Linked DNA regions of Cricetulus griseus. The protein of the gene in region 4 interacts with the protein of the main gene of each other region in a pairwise test. Links are inferred from orthologs where the notes say so. Each region holds a gene or a part of one and is shown on either strand. Other genes may lie near its edges.

Region 1 (4,169 bases), on a different chromosome or scaffold from region 4:
TTTTCGAAATTTCCTTAAGCCTGAGAGTTTTCTCTGATTGTGAATACAGCCTACTTTTTGAGGTGTGTCTCAGTCTACTCTACTTTAATAAGTGAAATGGGCAACATCAGGACCACAGCATCCACAGTTACTGGAATAGATCCAGGAAGTTAAGCGAAATCTTTTTCCAATTTTGCCTCTTCAAATGTAGCCCAGAAGTCACAGAATTTATAAACAATACCCATTCTAATAATGAAATGCTACACACATGGAAGTTTCTGGAAGTCTGCTTGTCAGCAGGGTGCAGATGCAATTTTCACTATACTAGACTGAAATTGATAGCTTCTATTTGTTGAATTAAACATTTGTGAAAATATGTTTAATGCACTTTTAGCACTTACAAAACTACACTGATAGTACTTACAAAACTACACTTATAGAAGTAACTTTTATCAACACAAAAATATGAAAACGGTGTTTATTGTAACTTCTACACCACTTCAGCAATGTATGGAAGCCAGCTGTCATGCCAATGTAGCATCCAATTGCCAAGGTGGAAAAGATACAGTCCTTTTCATAACATGGAGATTCTTGTGCATCAGAGTGTGGTAGTGAGAAGGAAAAGCAGTTATAGGTCAAGGATGGACACAATTTTGGATTCTTCCACCACTGTCATTTCAGAGAAATGGCTTCCTTTTTAGTACAGCAGATTTTGAAATTAGCATCTCAGCTGATTGCTGCCAATATCAAGCAGCAGCTTCCTTAGCTTTTTTGTTTCCTTCTCTATTCAGAGTCTGCCCCTGGGCACCCTAGGAAGGCTGTACCTCTTCATCAGACCAGCCAGACATTTGCTCATTGCTGCAGCCTCTCATGAGAAAGAATCTGTCCTCCCAGGAAGCTGACCCTGCCATGCTTTCAGCTCTCAGGGATCCCATGGGGCACAGAGGAGGTGAGACCTGCAACAATGGACCAGTCCCCAGGGGACTATGCCTTCCATTAGCCAAGAATTCCAGATGACTGAATGTGAGGCCACGGGCCCAAGGGGCAAGTGAATAAAAACGACTTCCTCATTTCTCCTTATTACCACTGCCTCATGCTGGTCCTTTCTCTGTATGTCAAACTTATCATTCTGACTTGACAGAGAGTGACTCATAGGTGGTAAACTTGAGGATCTTGGTGCCAAGGGTGCATCTTTTAAAAAGTGTTCCCTAATTGCCTATCCTGTGCTGTGGATTTGGCAGATAATGTATCTCTGCTCTCAGGGAGCTCTTGACAGAGTGGGGGAGAGGCACAGAAACCAGAGTGTGGTATGCTGAGGAGATGGAAGGGGAGGGACCTGAGAATACACAAAGGATCTCCTAACTCAAACCTAAGGGCAGTGATAGTGTTTCCATATGTCTTGCTTGTCAAAGCAACAAGAACTCTGAGTCCAGATGGGTAAGATTAGGGAAGAATACTTCGTAGGCAACATGTGAAAATAGCCCAAGACTGGGAAGACAGAACAGACAGTGTTAGAGAAATCAGGGAAATAAAAATATGGCCAGATAATTTTAAGGGTCTTGTCTTGCTACCTGAGAGAAGTGGGGGTACTGTTAGGGCAAGGGAAGGGACAGGATCAGGGTTGTCAGAGGCTGGGGAAATTACACAAAGGAGATGAGTGCAACACTTTTCTCAACTTCCCAGCCTGCTTCTCTGCCTTGAAAGGTTCCAGGTTCTGCTCCTGCCTGAAAGTGGGTTATGTGATGCTTAAGGGAAACAAGGGGGAAGGGTGAGCAGGTGAAAGGGTGGCTAAAGATGCTACTAGGGTAGTTAGTATTTTGCGTTTACCCACCATATAAGCATTGAAGCATATAGCATTCTCAGTCCCAATTCCAAAAGCTCATCTTACTCATCAATATTTCAGCCTTTATTCCTGAAAATTCTCTTCTTTGGCTTTCATCTGTAATTTCAAAAAATCCTCTTCATTAATAATAACACAGCAAAAAAGGGAGATGCTGCACCACTTCTACACATGAGTGACTTGTTATTAATCCTTCTATATAGGCAATAGGACTCCCCCACCCCCGGGCAAAAGCATTCAATCTTCTCAAATATCTTTCTGGAGAGGCTGGATAAGATACTACAGCCAGCCAGGTGACAAATTGATCAGTACAAAGTGGCACTGATCCCCCCAGCCCTGCCCGGCACATACTTAACCTCTGCAAAGCAGGTAGGAGAGTTTCCACCAAAGAAAAGAACGTCTTTGGTTTTTCACTGCTATATTAAGGAGGAAAGTGTGAGAGACTGAAGATACAAGGGAGCTAGAGAATGAAAACAATGAAAGAGAGGGGAAAGAAAGGGGGACACAAACTTAGGAGGTGAGATCTAGAGAAGGAACAGAGGAAAACTGAGATGGAAAAAACAGTGGATGATGGAAAAGTTTGGGGAGAGGAAGAGAAGAGAGCAAAGCAGGGAGGGAGAGGCACTAGGGGAAGTCCCTGTGCTTCCTTAGATGATACATGGGGAAAATTGGACAAACAGGCAGACAGGAGAAAACAGAGCTCCTTAAGCATCTAGATGGCGCGGGCAAATGTGCAGAAAGCAAAGTCACACTCTGTCTCTCTTCCTCCACCCAGGGTTGTGTGCCTTCAAGCACTGTCCTCCCCACCTCACTTCCCACCTGTGATTCCTCTAAAGCTTACAAAGCCAATGTCCTGGCCATGCTTGGCCCTTACCTCCACCCAGGACAGTCGTCCCTTCCCACAAGCAGGCCTGGGAATGGATACTGAGGAGGAAGGATTTTGAGAGCTACAACAGGTGACAGACTCCACAAAGATTGCCTGAGGGAGGGAAACCAAGGGAGAGAATGAATTAACTACAAGGTTAAAGGGGGATAGGAGAATGGTAGAATTGGGCAGGTAAAGAGAGGGGCAGACTGTGGGCCGCCATCTTCCATGCCTCCATCCAGATGGTACAGAAAGGCAGCCCCTGCAGCCAGCCTCCTCTACACCTCCATTTGACCTGAAACTGTCATTTTTAGGATACCCTGGGGCTCCGCCATGACCCTCTGGGGCCTTTTTCCCTTAGAAAAAACATTAGGACTTTACTTTAGTACCCCATCTTGGCTCCAGGATGAAAAGAAAGCTGTTGGGCACAGGGGTAACAAGGCTGTCTACTTGTAAGCATCCCTCCTGGAGAGTTGGAGGCTGGACCTAACACCTCAGGCTCTCCCCAAGCAGCAGCTCAGCAGTCCAAGCTCCTCCCCAGAACTCAGACAAGCTGGGAACCCCACTCCAGCTGCTGGCGACTGTGCCTTTAAATTGCTGCTTTCGGAGGGTGCATCTAGGGGGATGTGGGAGGGAGGGAAACGTCTTTCTGCCCGTCTCCTTCCTCCCTCCCCTCCAAGACTCTCCAGGGTTTGCAGAGTGAATTGCTACCCAAAGAGAATCTTTTCTGGCTCCCTGACCGGCAGGCTGAGGGCCCTCCTCAATCCAAGACAAGTCCAGCTGGAGCTGGGTGGTTATTTGTGTCAGGTTCAGTTCCAGGGGAGTAGTTCTACACCCTAACTGCTAAGGACAGGGCAGAAAAGAGGCAGGAGAGGAAAGAGAGCTTAACTCCTAGCCCAGACACACAGGCTCCTTATTCCAGCCCAAGCTGGAGAAGGGCTCTGTGCTGTTGCCTTTCCCACAGGGATATCTACTCTCACCTTGACAGCCAGGCAGAGAAAGGACTACAAGGTCCCTGCAGAATGACAACTCTTGTTCCTGCAACGCTCTTCCTTCTCCTCTGGACCCTGCCAGGGAAGGTCCTACTCAGGTGAGCTCAGTGGGGTGAGGAGGTGCATGCAAACACTGGCTGGGGGCTGATGGTAACAGATGGGGCAGCTGGCACAGTTTCTTCTAAGTTTGCAAAAAAAAAAAACAGTCTGGAGGGCTTCGGGGGAAGGACACACCCTCCTTAGTCAGGACCCAGGAGCTGTCCAATACAGATACAGGGTCCCAGTGTTCGTAGAGGAGCTTCTGTATAATTGAATTGCATGGGTCTGGGTAGGGGCTAGGTGGCTGAGTCTAAAATAGAGGTCATTTGTCCTGTAATTGAACCCTTTCTCCCTACCAGCTGAATCCCTAAAATGAGAGAAACATATGTCAGATGCCTGCCAAAGAGGCTGCAGGTGGCATAGGTTTGCTACAGGACCACAGCAGGATGGAGCC
Region 2 (3,932 bases), on a different chromosome or scaffold from region 4:
CCTTCTCACTCTCTACTGCTCTCTGACCCTGAAAGTAATGAGTGTAACTCCATATGTCTCGGGAGTTGACTCTGCCATGTGTCCCATCCAGGTTCTCCCCCACCCCCACCCAGGATTAAGTGGTATAGCACTCAGTGTCTTCTAGGGAAGGAGGGACTGGGGGCTGATGCTTAGAAAACTTTGTCCACATTCCCTTTATACAATCAAGTCACCTTTTGAGGATGATGGCCTGGTCTTCTAAGGAAAGCTGATGAATACAGAGGAAACAGTATGAGGGGCAATTAAGGAGGTCATATATGAGTGTCAGGATTTGCCATAGAGTTTGGGGACCAGAGAGTGGCCTCCAGCCATTGACTGGACTACAGGGCTGGCACAAACACCTCCTAGAGGCTGAAGAGACTTCTTAGTGAGTAAGAACACTGACCACTCTTCCAGAGGACCAGCACCCACATTAAGCAGCTCCCAATTGCCTGTAACTCCAGCTCCAGGGGATATGATGCCCTGGATCTTCTAGCATCCAGGGACACCTGCATACATATAGCAAGCATGCACAGATACACACACAGAGAGACACACACACACACAGACACACGCACGCACGCACGCACGCACGCGCGCACACACACACACCAAATAAATCTTTTTTTTAAAAAAAAAAAAAAGACTTCCTGGTAGGCTGTTGACTGTGGGAGCTGGACCAGAGGCCCCACATTTTAATGAGGCAGAGATGGCCTGGAAGAAAGACACTGGGATGATCATCTCCCGAGTCCTTGGGGTGTTAAGGCTTTGACCCAGAAGCCCCATGCTAAATGAGTGGCTGAGCCCCTGTATGACCTCAGCCCTACAATTCCTTCTATGAAGGTCATTTACTATCATCAAACTTTCGGTTCCAGACTTATCATAGTGCCTGCTAAGTGTTCTGACTCATCTGGAATAATAGAATTGACCAGAGCTCTCCGAGAGTCTGATAAGACAGGCGACAGGTACCTTGGTCCTGGGGATCTGAAGTAGCCTCAGGTCACTTATGCTGCCAGCACAGCTGTGGCTGAGATGAGCTCCAGTTAGGGTGATAGCTTAAGGAGGAAGGTCTTCTGTCCCCAGAGTAATGTCTTCCTCCTTTATCCCAGACACCATGGAGACGGTGCTGATCCTCTGCAGCCTGCTGGCCCCTGCAGTCCTGGCTAGTGGTAAGAATCCTTTAGAGCCTGGCTGTGCCAAGCTGGCAGCCATAGCCCTTTCTGTTGAAGGTTCTGGCTGTTTTGAATGTTAGGGTCGAGAGGCAGCTTCACATCCGGTCAGGGACCTCACCATTAGTCAGCAGAGAAAAACAGATCCCAATTGAGGTGTTCCTAACTGCTCCCTGCATGGGTCCAGCTGGCCTTCTGTTAACCTCTCTAGGTACCTTGAGCTCCGGTGGACCTGCAGCCTAGACTAATTAACCCACCTTGACCATATATGCAAGTCATGAGTACCCCTTGCTCTCAGTTTCCCCATTTGTCACGAGTTGATAGACAGACCTGGCCTTTTAGAATAAATGTAGGGCATGCTGTGACCTCAGGAACCCACTGAGGCTGAGTCACATATACCATAGACCCTGGGTGTGGACCCTAAGCCCAGGAAACCCAACTTCCACAATCCCCCCGTATCTTCCCATGATCCTGCTTCACAGGGGTCCTTTAGTGGGGACAGGTTGCTGTGGGGCAGGTAAGATGTCACAGGAAACACCGCTGCCTTCCTCTTGACCATGTCTGTCTGCTTCCCCAGCAGCTGAGAAGGAGAAAGAAAAGGATCCGTTCTATTATGGTGAGTGAGCTCAGCAGCCCCCGGGGTGTGGCCCCATCCGAGAGGGACAAGCTTGTCCTCCTGGCCCTGCCCCTCTTTCACCTCACATCCCTGGTTCCTTTGCAGACTACCAGACCCTGAGGATTGGGGGATTGGTGTTCGCTGTGGTCCTCTTCTCTGTTGGGATACTACTCATCCTAAGTAAGTGTGTCCCCTTTTTCTCTGTGGCTGCTAGACAGATGGGGGTAGTGTACAAGCTTAGCCATGGTCTGCCTCTCCATGGTATCTCCAGGACCAATACAGGGCGGGGCATGTAGTAAGTGCTCAGTAAAACAAGGAAGGTGAGCAGGATGTTCTCTGCATCCCTAGGGCAGGAGCTCGGCCATCCCAGGAGTCAGATGTCATTTTCCTAGTGTTCCTAGGAAAGTGTCCCTATGCATTTCCCACCCTGATTATTTTTGCTCACCGTATGAAAGGGCAAAGTCCATCATAGTGGACAGGCATGGTGGAGCAGCTTGGTCCAAGGTAGTAGACATCTGTGGCTTGTTCTCATTAAGGTTGACCAGGAAGCAGAAAGTTCAGGGTATAACCAGAAGCAGCTATCACCTCTAACACCTGACCGCAGCAACCCACTTTGGTAGCTAGGCTACTCCTCCCACAAACAGCACCCCCACCGAGGATCAGGTATTTAGACACAACTTCCTGTGGGGTGCATCTGCCATTTAAACCATAGCACCTGGCCTCCCTTGACTCCTGCCCCCTACCCAGGGTTACTTCCTGTAGTAGTGCAGGCATCCACTGTGTGTCTGGTGGTGCCTTTGGTCTGTATAGATTCACAGTAGATTATGGCCCAGCTGGGAGCCTGACCTTGACTGGTTTCTTTGCATTTCAGGTCGCAGGTGCAAGTGCAGTTTCAATCAGAAGCCCAGGTGAGGTTGCCAAGGCTGTGGCCAACAGGGGCAACCGCAGAGGGGACAGGGAGAGGGTGTAATGTGAACCCGGTGGGCTGTCTCAGAGAGAGAATGTGGGAGGCCGAGGTATGAATCTGGGGATTTCCAAGTGACTTTGGAACAAAGGAGAGGTCACACATGGAGAGTGGGCCTCAGGTGTAAATCGGGGAAGGAATACTGAGTAAGAATGTGCTAGCATCGACCCCAGATGCTGTCCAGGAGGCCTGTACAAGACTGATCCAGACCCCAGAACATAGATGTCAATAAGGAGGCCTCTGCACTCCAGGGAGCCTCTGGTAGTGGATTAGTATTTTTCCCTGGTGCAAGAAGGGACTTTGAGAGCCCATCCCATATGAAGGGTTACACTCTGGCCCTGGACACATGGGGAAGGGCCCAGGATCAGCATAGGAAGACTTGGTGGACTTTGCTGAGCTCCCGTTGAGGGCCCTACCCTGCCTGGGGAGTAGTGGGTGGATGGGGTTGGGGGGATGGGCTGGGGGTGGGGGAGAAAGTTTGGGGGTGAGGGGAGGGAGAGGGAGAAGGGACTTGAAATAAGCTTGTTCCCTAACTAGAACTAATAAAATAAAATAAAATTTAAAAAAAAAAAAAAAAAAGAATGTGCTAGAACCTTGTCCGGAGGCCTTTGAGACAGCTAGGCTTGCTAAGAGGGAAGCCAAGGACTTCACGGCTGCTCTGAGGTGCAGGGCCTATACACTGTCTCTGCTTTTCATCTCTCTCTGAGGCTCTGTGCACTGCATAGACACCTGATCTTCCTTCTATGTCACACAAAGTTACACCCCTTCATTAAAACAGCCATGGTGGCCATAGACCTCAGAGCCTGTGGCAGGCACAAATCCCACCGGGGGCAGACATTGCAGGGCATTCCTGAGTTCTCTTTGCCTCTGTCCCTGTCAGTCTTGACTTCTCCTTTCACCTAGTGTTTGAATCCTTAAAGGGGCTCTGAGGGGAGGGGTTCTAGAAGCCCTACTTCAGGGAAGAGAATGAAGAGAATGGGGAGATGCTATGGTTTACCCTGGACACGGATGACAGTGTGTCTCCTCTTGTCTTAGGGCTCCAGGAGATGAAGAGGCCCAGGTGGAGAACCTCATCACTACAAACGGTAACTGCCATGAAGAGTGCTAGGAGAGGGGCTTCCCAGGGTTTGGGGAAGGAGTGAACTGGGTGCCATGAGCTGCTTTG
Region 3 (4,047 bases), on a different chromosome or scaffold from region 4:
TTTCTTGCTTTTAGAGTGGATGAAGGAAGATGATAGTAACTCCAAGGGGTTGTTATGATAATTAGACTAGGGAGGGGGCTGCCTCCAAACAAAGTTGTTCTTCCTAATCAGGGCTCAAGGGGATTATAAACTACGGCTTATATGCTCACCAGAATAATACTTAATAAGGAAAGTCACCGTGGTCCCCAGAAATTCTTCACAGAAGCATTTCTCTTTCAATGTATCCTCCCCACTCTTCCTACAAGTACATACCATTTAAGGAGTCCAGTTTCTGAAAACCTACTAGCACTTTCAAGTGAATATACTCATATGCTGATTCACTTAAGAAACATTTCTGAGCCTCTTTCTCTGTCAGAATTTATGCTTTAAAAACTACTTAAAATGGGAAGTCCCATTGTTGTTGTTGTTGTTTTGTTTTGTTTTCCAAGACAGGGTTTCTCAGTAGCTTTGGAGGCTGTTCTGGAACTCCCTTAGTAGACCAGGCTGGACTCGAACTCACACAGATCTGCCTGCCTCTGACTAATCCTGGGATTAAAGGTGTGCACCACCACCACCACCACCACCACCACCACCACCACCAACCACCACCACCACCACCGCTGCCGCCCAGTGGGAAGCCCCATTTTTAAGGAATAAAAATATATCTACCATTTATTGAGGATATACTGTTTACCAGGTACTATAGCAAATGTCATATTCCTCTCATTTAATTTTCCCAATAGTTTTGTAAGTCAAGCAAAATTATCCTTAATTTACAGACATGAAAACTGAAGTTCAGAGGCAGTGGGAATTATTTCCATATGACTATAGTTAGGTCTAGATCTAAACTTGGGGTTCTCTGATTCTGAAGTCTTCAATTCTATCATTTCCCAGGTAAAACAATAATTCACTCATCTATGCATTAAATATGTAAATGTAAAGCATATTCAATGTGTGCCAGGCTTTATGGACACTAAATGTTCATAGGCAGGCTTAAAATGTAGTTATATTTGCAGACTGAAGCACCAAAAAATCAGAGGTTTGGGATGGTGTTGAGAAAGCTACTGTAATGAACATCAGAAGAGGAGGAGGAGGAAGGAAGAAGGTAGAGGATGAGGAAGAATAAAGAATGAAGACAGAAGAAGGAAGAAGAGGAGGAAGAAGGAAGAAGAAGAAAGCAGCAGCAGCAGCAGCAGCAGCAGCAGCTGGGCACTGGTGGCTTGTGGCTTTAATCCCAGCACTCTGGAGGCAGAGGAGGGTGGATCTCTGAGTTGAAGCCAGCCTGATCACTCTACAGAGTGAGTTCTAGGACAGACAGGGTTACACGGAGAAACCCTTTTTCAAAAAATAAAAAATAAAACCAAACCAAACCAAACCAAAAAACCCATAAATAGAAAGAACCCTAATGATTGTTGTCACCTGTTTTGTTCTTGAGACAGTTTCATTTATACCAGGCTGGCATTACACCCTACCTGCTAATGACATTCTGATTCAGAGCAAAGGCAAGGACCGTTGGTAGAAAAGCAGGGCTATTTGGACAGAGGGGATTAGATCAGGGAAGGTGGCTGCAGATGGATGCTCAAACTAGCTTCCTGTCAGGCAATCTATACATTAACTTTTCTTCCAAGTATATACTGAACACATACAATGTATCACACTTCTTCCACTTACTATCTTATTTCATCTTCACACTACTTCATTTAAAAAACTGTATTGCATTTGTTTATTTTGTATGAGTGCATATATGTGTGTGTGTGTTTGTGCTATGTATGGATGTCAGAAGACAATTTTCGGAGTTGATTCTTTCCTTTCACTATGTAAGGCCCAAGGATGGGAACTATGGTCACCAGGCTTGGCAAGAAGTGTGTTTACCTGAGCGATCTTGCCGCCATTTGATCCTCCTACCTCCACCTCTGAAATGCTGGGATTATAGGTGTGCACCACTAAATCCAGTTTATGTGGTGCTGGGAATTGAATACAGGGCTTTGCACATGGCAGGCAAGCACTCTATCAACTGAGCTACAGCCCCTACCCACCCCAAAACCACTTCATCTTTAAGATGTTTCTAATTCCCTTTACTTCCAAAAACACTGAGGGATTCATTTAAAATTCTTAGCAAATATCGTTTCAGTTGTCTACTGCTGTCCCTGGTGGTGGTGGAAAGGTAGTATGCACGCTTGTTTTCTGAGCACAGTCCTGCTCCTCTGTGAGACCTCAATAACGAGACAGGTCTGATTTCTAGAACATGCCCACTCCTCTGCTCTTAGCTAGATCCCAGGAGGAAACAGACACCAAAAGGATGAAAACGCAACTTTGACCAACACCAGGGGAGGGAGGAGTCTAAGAATAGAAAAATAAGATACAAAGTAACAAGTCCTGATAAGAGGACCGCCCAGGCATCACCCCAACTTGTTGAGGTTAGCAAATGCGTCCTGGAGAAGGCAGTACATTTGCACCCAATCCATCCAGAACAGCACAGGTTCTGAAGCTGCAGCTGAAGCAGAACCCTCATTGGGATCAAGCCTTATAATAGACCATTGCTCAGATCTACCTTAGAGATTCAGAGGAAAGGATGTGAGAAGACTTGCTTGGACCGGCAAGAACAACAGTGGGGACTGAGGGTCTCTGAAGGGCTGCTGATAAGCCACATGGATTGATAGGTATCCCAAAAGGGTTTTCAAGCTCCGAAAGTGCCAGCTGGGTGGCCTGAGAGCCTGCCCATCATTACCCGCAGACTTGAACTAAAGAAGGGTAGAACAGTTACCATGTCATCCTTGGGCCTTCCCTCTGATTGGCCGGAGCTTCCGTAGCCCGAGTCTCCGCGCTCCAAGGAAAGGGGCGGGGTCTCGGCACAACGTCACCGCTTTTTGGTGCTCACTATTCTAGCCACTCCCCAGCCCTCTTCGAGGGGCCGTGTGTGACGTCGCGAGTCTCTATCAGCCAACCGTCGCGGCAAAAGGGGTGGGACTCCAGGTCCCTCCCCACCATCCCTCTTTTTTTTTTTTTTTCTCCCCACCCAATTCCTCACGCCCCTCCTCTTCCCCTCTACTCCTTCTCAGAGACCGCCTTCACGTTCGGTTTCAAAAGGCTCGTCGCCCAATGAGTAACACGGTAGGCCTCGAGTGGCGGAACGGCCTGCCAATGCCCGGCTGGCGAGGGCGGAACGCCCGGGGCTGGCCTCTGACGGCGGACGGCGTGTGACGCAGTCGGGCCTCTGCGCGCTGCGCCCGAAGCGGCGGTCGGTGGCGGCGGCGGCCTCGGCGGCGGCGACGGTTTCCTGGTGGCCGCGCGCTGCTCTGTGAGCGGCGGGTGGCAGACGGACCTGGGCCCTCACCCCAGACGCACCGCGGTAAGTCGGGAGTGCTGCTGGGGCCGGGCGGGCGGGTCCTCTTCTTTGGACCGGCATCTGCGCGGGACGCCCCGGGCCCTCAGCCTCCCAGTCTCGTGCGGGGCGCGCTCCTTCGGGCCTGCGTGAGGGGGCGGGGCCCGCGGCCCTGCGGCTTGGCTCGGGAGGCCCTGGGAGGGAGTCCACACGCGTGGGGCGTAGGCCAGGGGGCCTCGGGTGGCAGCCCACGCTGAGGGAACCTCGTTGTCTCCGGTGCTACTCATTCATTCGCTGGGTAGAGGTGAGCAGCCCGCGGTAGGCTGGCCCTTGCGGGGATGGTGCCTTGGGGACTCAGTGAGGTCCCCCCCCCCATCACTTCTTTGACCACTCTACAGTACGCGTCTTGTCTAGGGTTAACCAGAGGGTTGAGTGAGTCGGAAGTGCGTTAGCTTTTTAAGACATTGTCTGGCGATTGGAGGGGTCTGGTCAACCGAATGAAAGGTTCTTTTCTGTTCTGCCGCATGTTCGTGTAAACCGAGGTGAGAAAGATTGGATTCTTGAATTACTGTAGCCATAGCGTTTAAGACATTCTATGTCAATGCCCCCATTCTGCATCACGTGCAGAGGTTTTGTAAGGTGGGAGAGGACTCAGTAATGGCAGATGTCTTGACTCAAGCCTAGAATTTTTATACTATTCCACCCTCCCTGTATGTTCCAGTCTCTCATTATTGGCTGTTCTGTAT
Region 4 (3,027 bases):
TTAATTTTGCTTTCTTAAAGCATGTGCTGAGCTGGTGGAGGGAGCAGTTTGGCAATTAAAAAGGCCCAGCAGCTTGGGCAGCGGCATGGGGAAGCCAGGTGAGGGTGGGGTGTCCCTCTGTCCCAGCCAAGGGGTAGCAAAGCCCGCGCTAACTTCATAAAATACAAAATAAGGGAGAGGTGATGGAAGGGAGATTTGTAAAATACATTATCTTAGGGGATTGGTAATAATAAAAAATAAGGTTCATTATTTACAAACAATTTCTGTTCTTGATCTCTGTACAGTAGGAGGTGGGGGTGTGTGATTGTGTGTGCATATGTTCGTGTGTGTGTGTGTGTGTGTGTGTGTGTGTGTGTGTTCAGAATCTTTCTTAACTCTGCATGTTGGGTAGTCTCTACCATATTAGAAGTGACTAAAGGTGGACACTCATCTGCTATCCCAGTACCAAAATACAAACAGTGCTTAGTCAATGCATCGTAACCACTGCCACCCTCACCAGGAACAGTGGTCGTGTTGGTCACTACGGAAAAGGAAACAGGAGTGGCCCAGTGAGTGGTTTATTGGAGAGGACGGATGATTGTGGGAAGAAGTGGGAACAGAGTGGTTGGCCCAGGGGAGCAGTCCAAATGCCTGGGGACATAGAGGGACTCCAGTCACAACAGGGACCGGGATGGCTGGGGAGAAGAAAGACCCTTTCTCCTGGGGCAGAAGGCTCCAGGACAGGGGTAGGAGCTGGATCTGGGTCGGTGAGCAAGAGAATGCCTCTTCTGGGTGCCAGGGTGTCCGTCCTGTGTCCTGGGTCTCGGAGAGGCCTAGGAGAGTTTGATGGTGGTATTGGGGCCCAGATCCCTGGGGAGAGAAGACGATCCAGGGATGAATCTGCTTTGAGATGCCCCTCACTTAGCTGTCAGTTGGGTCTAGACCAGGGATCCCCGCTCCCTGAGAGGATGCTCATCCCCAAGGAAAATGCTCCTCCCCTGGGAGCCTGCCCCTCCCCCTGGGAGCTTGCCCCTCTACTCACCTGTCATGGAACCACTCCTTGGGGTGGGAGAAGTTGGGGCTGGTGCCATTGTCGTTAGCATCTTCTGGCCAGGTCTCACTCAAGTACTTGGTGGTCTCATGGGTGCTGTCCATATAGTCATGTCGGAGGTGGTCCTGGGGCCTTGGCTCTACTGGCCCCCCGGGTTTGAGCTCCCAGCCTTCTGGGGGCTCCACAGGCAGTAGGGCGCCTCGGCCATCTTCCCACAAACCCGTCCCATCATCATAGAACAGTAGGCTTCGGGAGGGCACTAGGGGAAAAGAACAAGGTGAGCAATAGGTGCTCCCTGTGCTCAAATAGCCCTATTCATGTGCTAGACATGAAGGGCATAGGATCTGAAATCTTACAGGCCTGACTCTTAATCCCAACCCTAAGGATCCCTGGCTGTGTGATCTCAGGTTAGTTACACACTCGGCTCTGATTTTGCCGAGCATCAGTTTGTCGATCTGTAAAATGGGAATAGTGGAACCAACCTTGGGGAGATTCAAGGATTCAATGAGTATTACAGTGTAAGGGATTAAAACTGTGCTCAGTCAAGTCAAGAGCTCACAAAAACGCAGCACTTCTGGGACAAGAATGCTGGTTTGCTTACTGAAAACTGGAATTCCTCCCCACCCCGCCCCCATGGTACTAAGGATCAAGCCCAGACCTTCAGGCTTGCTACGCCAATACTCTACCACCAGGATTTTGAGCCAGCTTGTCCATCCTCCCATCCTCCAGCCTCTCTTTTTCTCAAGTTCATATTGAGACAGGGTTTCACTGAGTTGCTAGGCTGGTCTTTAATTCATTTTGTAGATGTTTTGTTTTGTTTTGTTTTGTTTTTTTCAAGACAGGGTTTCTCTGTGTAGCTTTGGAGCCTATCCTGGCACTCTCTCTGGAGACCAGGCTGGCCTCGAACTCACAGAGATTCGCCTGCCTCTGCCTCTGCCTCTGCCTCCGGAGTGCTGGGATTAAAGGCGTGCACCACCAATGCCCCGCTTGACTGGTTAACCTTTAAACTTGAACTCTCTTCCCTGCTTTGACTGAGAAACTGGGATCACAGGCCTAGACCTTCAGGACCTACTGAGAGCCGGCTCTAATCCTACCATGACATTTATTTCCTGAGATACTAAAGGGAAATCTTTCTTTTCACTTCTAGGCGAGTTCACCCTTCAGAGAAGGGGAGGAAAATGGACATTTGTTGGACACCTGTACCAGACATTATACAAAAATTCTCAGCTTACAGCAACTTGAATCTCACATGAAGCCTTGGAAATAAAGTGTTTTGAGCCCTGCTTCCCAGAGCTCATCATCAGGGGTCCCTACAAGTTGGCTTCCTGACTCCAGAGTCTGCTGGCTACCTCCCAGCTTCCCCTGCAGGGTCTAATCTATGGAAAAGGCGGCCCCTGGCATTGTGTGAAGCTGCAGTCCGGAAACCAGCCTGCTCAACAAGCCACCTCCTTCCTCAGACATGCCCTCTACCCTGCCCTGTGCCCTGCTTTCCCCTCAGTGGGTTATGTCCATCAGCGCGACCCCCACCCGCCCCCTGTGTGGTCAGTCCTCTCCTCAGGCCTCTCAGAGCCTAGGTACTCCTCCCACCCCACCCCATCACAGCCCTCCTGGAGTGGCTTCCAATCCCTCTTCCTCTTAGTCCTCCTTCCAGCTCCCTTCCTCCCTTCCAGGCCCTCAGTGTCTTGCTTATCCTCCCTGCAGTACCCCTCCTCCTAACACACTCCTCCCTGCTCTCCCCTCTCTCTGACCTCTTCTGTTTCCTCTTTCTCTTCTGCCACGTCTGATACATGCTTCTGGTGTGTGAAGCAGGGCCTGCAAGTTCCTCCATGGGCCCACCTGAAGCGGCCTCTGCCTCTGAAAGCCGTGCTGTTCTTTGCTGTCCCCTGTACTGACTTTCCCTTGCTGTTCCTGCCCTGTCTTTCCTCTCATGTCAGGAGCTAGTCCCGAAGGCAGGGCTTATGCTCACCTACTGTGAGCACCAGAACCACTGTGCATAA

What was found.
Region 1: the proteins of Creb3l1 (region 4) and Plp1 interact in binary tests that used the Homo sapiens proteins (3 or more experiments, as listed by UniProt). The two-hybrid records come from large-scale screens. The link is inferred for Cricetulus griseus from reciprocal best matches to the Homo sapiens genes CREB3L1 and PLP1.
Region 2: the proteins of Creb3l1 (region 4) and Fxyd6 interact in binary tests that used the Homo sapiens proteins (3 or more experiments, as listed by UniProt). The two-hybrid records come from large-scale screens. The link is inferred for Cricetulus griseus from reciprocal best matches to the Homo sapiens genes CREB3L1 and FXYD6.
Region 3: the proteins of Creb3l1 (region 4) and Pgap2 interact in binary tests that used the Homo sapiens proteins (3 or more experiments, as listed by UniProt). The two-hybrid records come from large-scale screens. The link is inferred for Cricetulus griseus from reciprocal best matches to the Homo sapiens genes CREB3L1 and PGAP2.

The regions. Positions count from the first base shown.
Region 1 is NC_048604.1:43,613,161-43,617,329, forward strand, and holds the start of Plp1 (myelin proteolipid protein), read right to left. Parts: upstream 2,801-4,169; 5' UTR 2,694-2,800; intron 1,919-2,693; 5' UTR 1,811-1,918; intron 1-1,810. Other genes in the region: glycine receptor subunit alpha-4, read left to right, coding at 3,707-3,774.
Region 2 is NC_048597.1:157,101,709-157,105,640, forward strand, and holds the start of Fxyd6 (FXYD domain-containing ion transport regulator 6), read left to right. Parts: upstream 1-1,132; coding exon 1,133-1,187; intron 1,188-1,764; coding exon 1,765-1,803; intron 1,804-1,908; coding exon 1,909-1,983; intron 1,984-2,674; coding exon 2,675-2,711; intron 2,712-3,802; coding exon 3,803-3,852; intron 3,853-3,932. UniProt on the Homo sapiens protein: Associates with and regulates the activity of the sodium/potassium-transporting ATPase (NKA) which catalyzes the hydrolysis of ATP coupled with the exchange of Na(+) and K(+) ions across the plasma membrane.
Region 3 is NC_048596.1:97,173,914-97,177,960, forward strand, and holds the start of Pgap2 (post-GPI attachment to proteins factor 2), read right to left. Parts: upstream 2,801-4,047; 5' UTR 2,744-2,800; intron 1-2,743.
Region 4 is NC_048599.1:84,760,036-84,763,062, reverse strand, and holds the end of Creb3l1 (cyclic AMP-responsive element-binding protein 3-like protein 1), read right to left. Parts: intron 1,290-3,027; coding exon 1,022-1,289; intron 850-1,021; coding exon of another isoform or gene 813-849; coding exon 521-812; 3' UTR 501-520; downstream 1-500.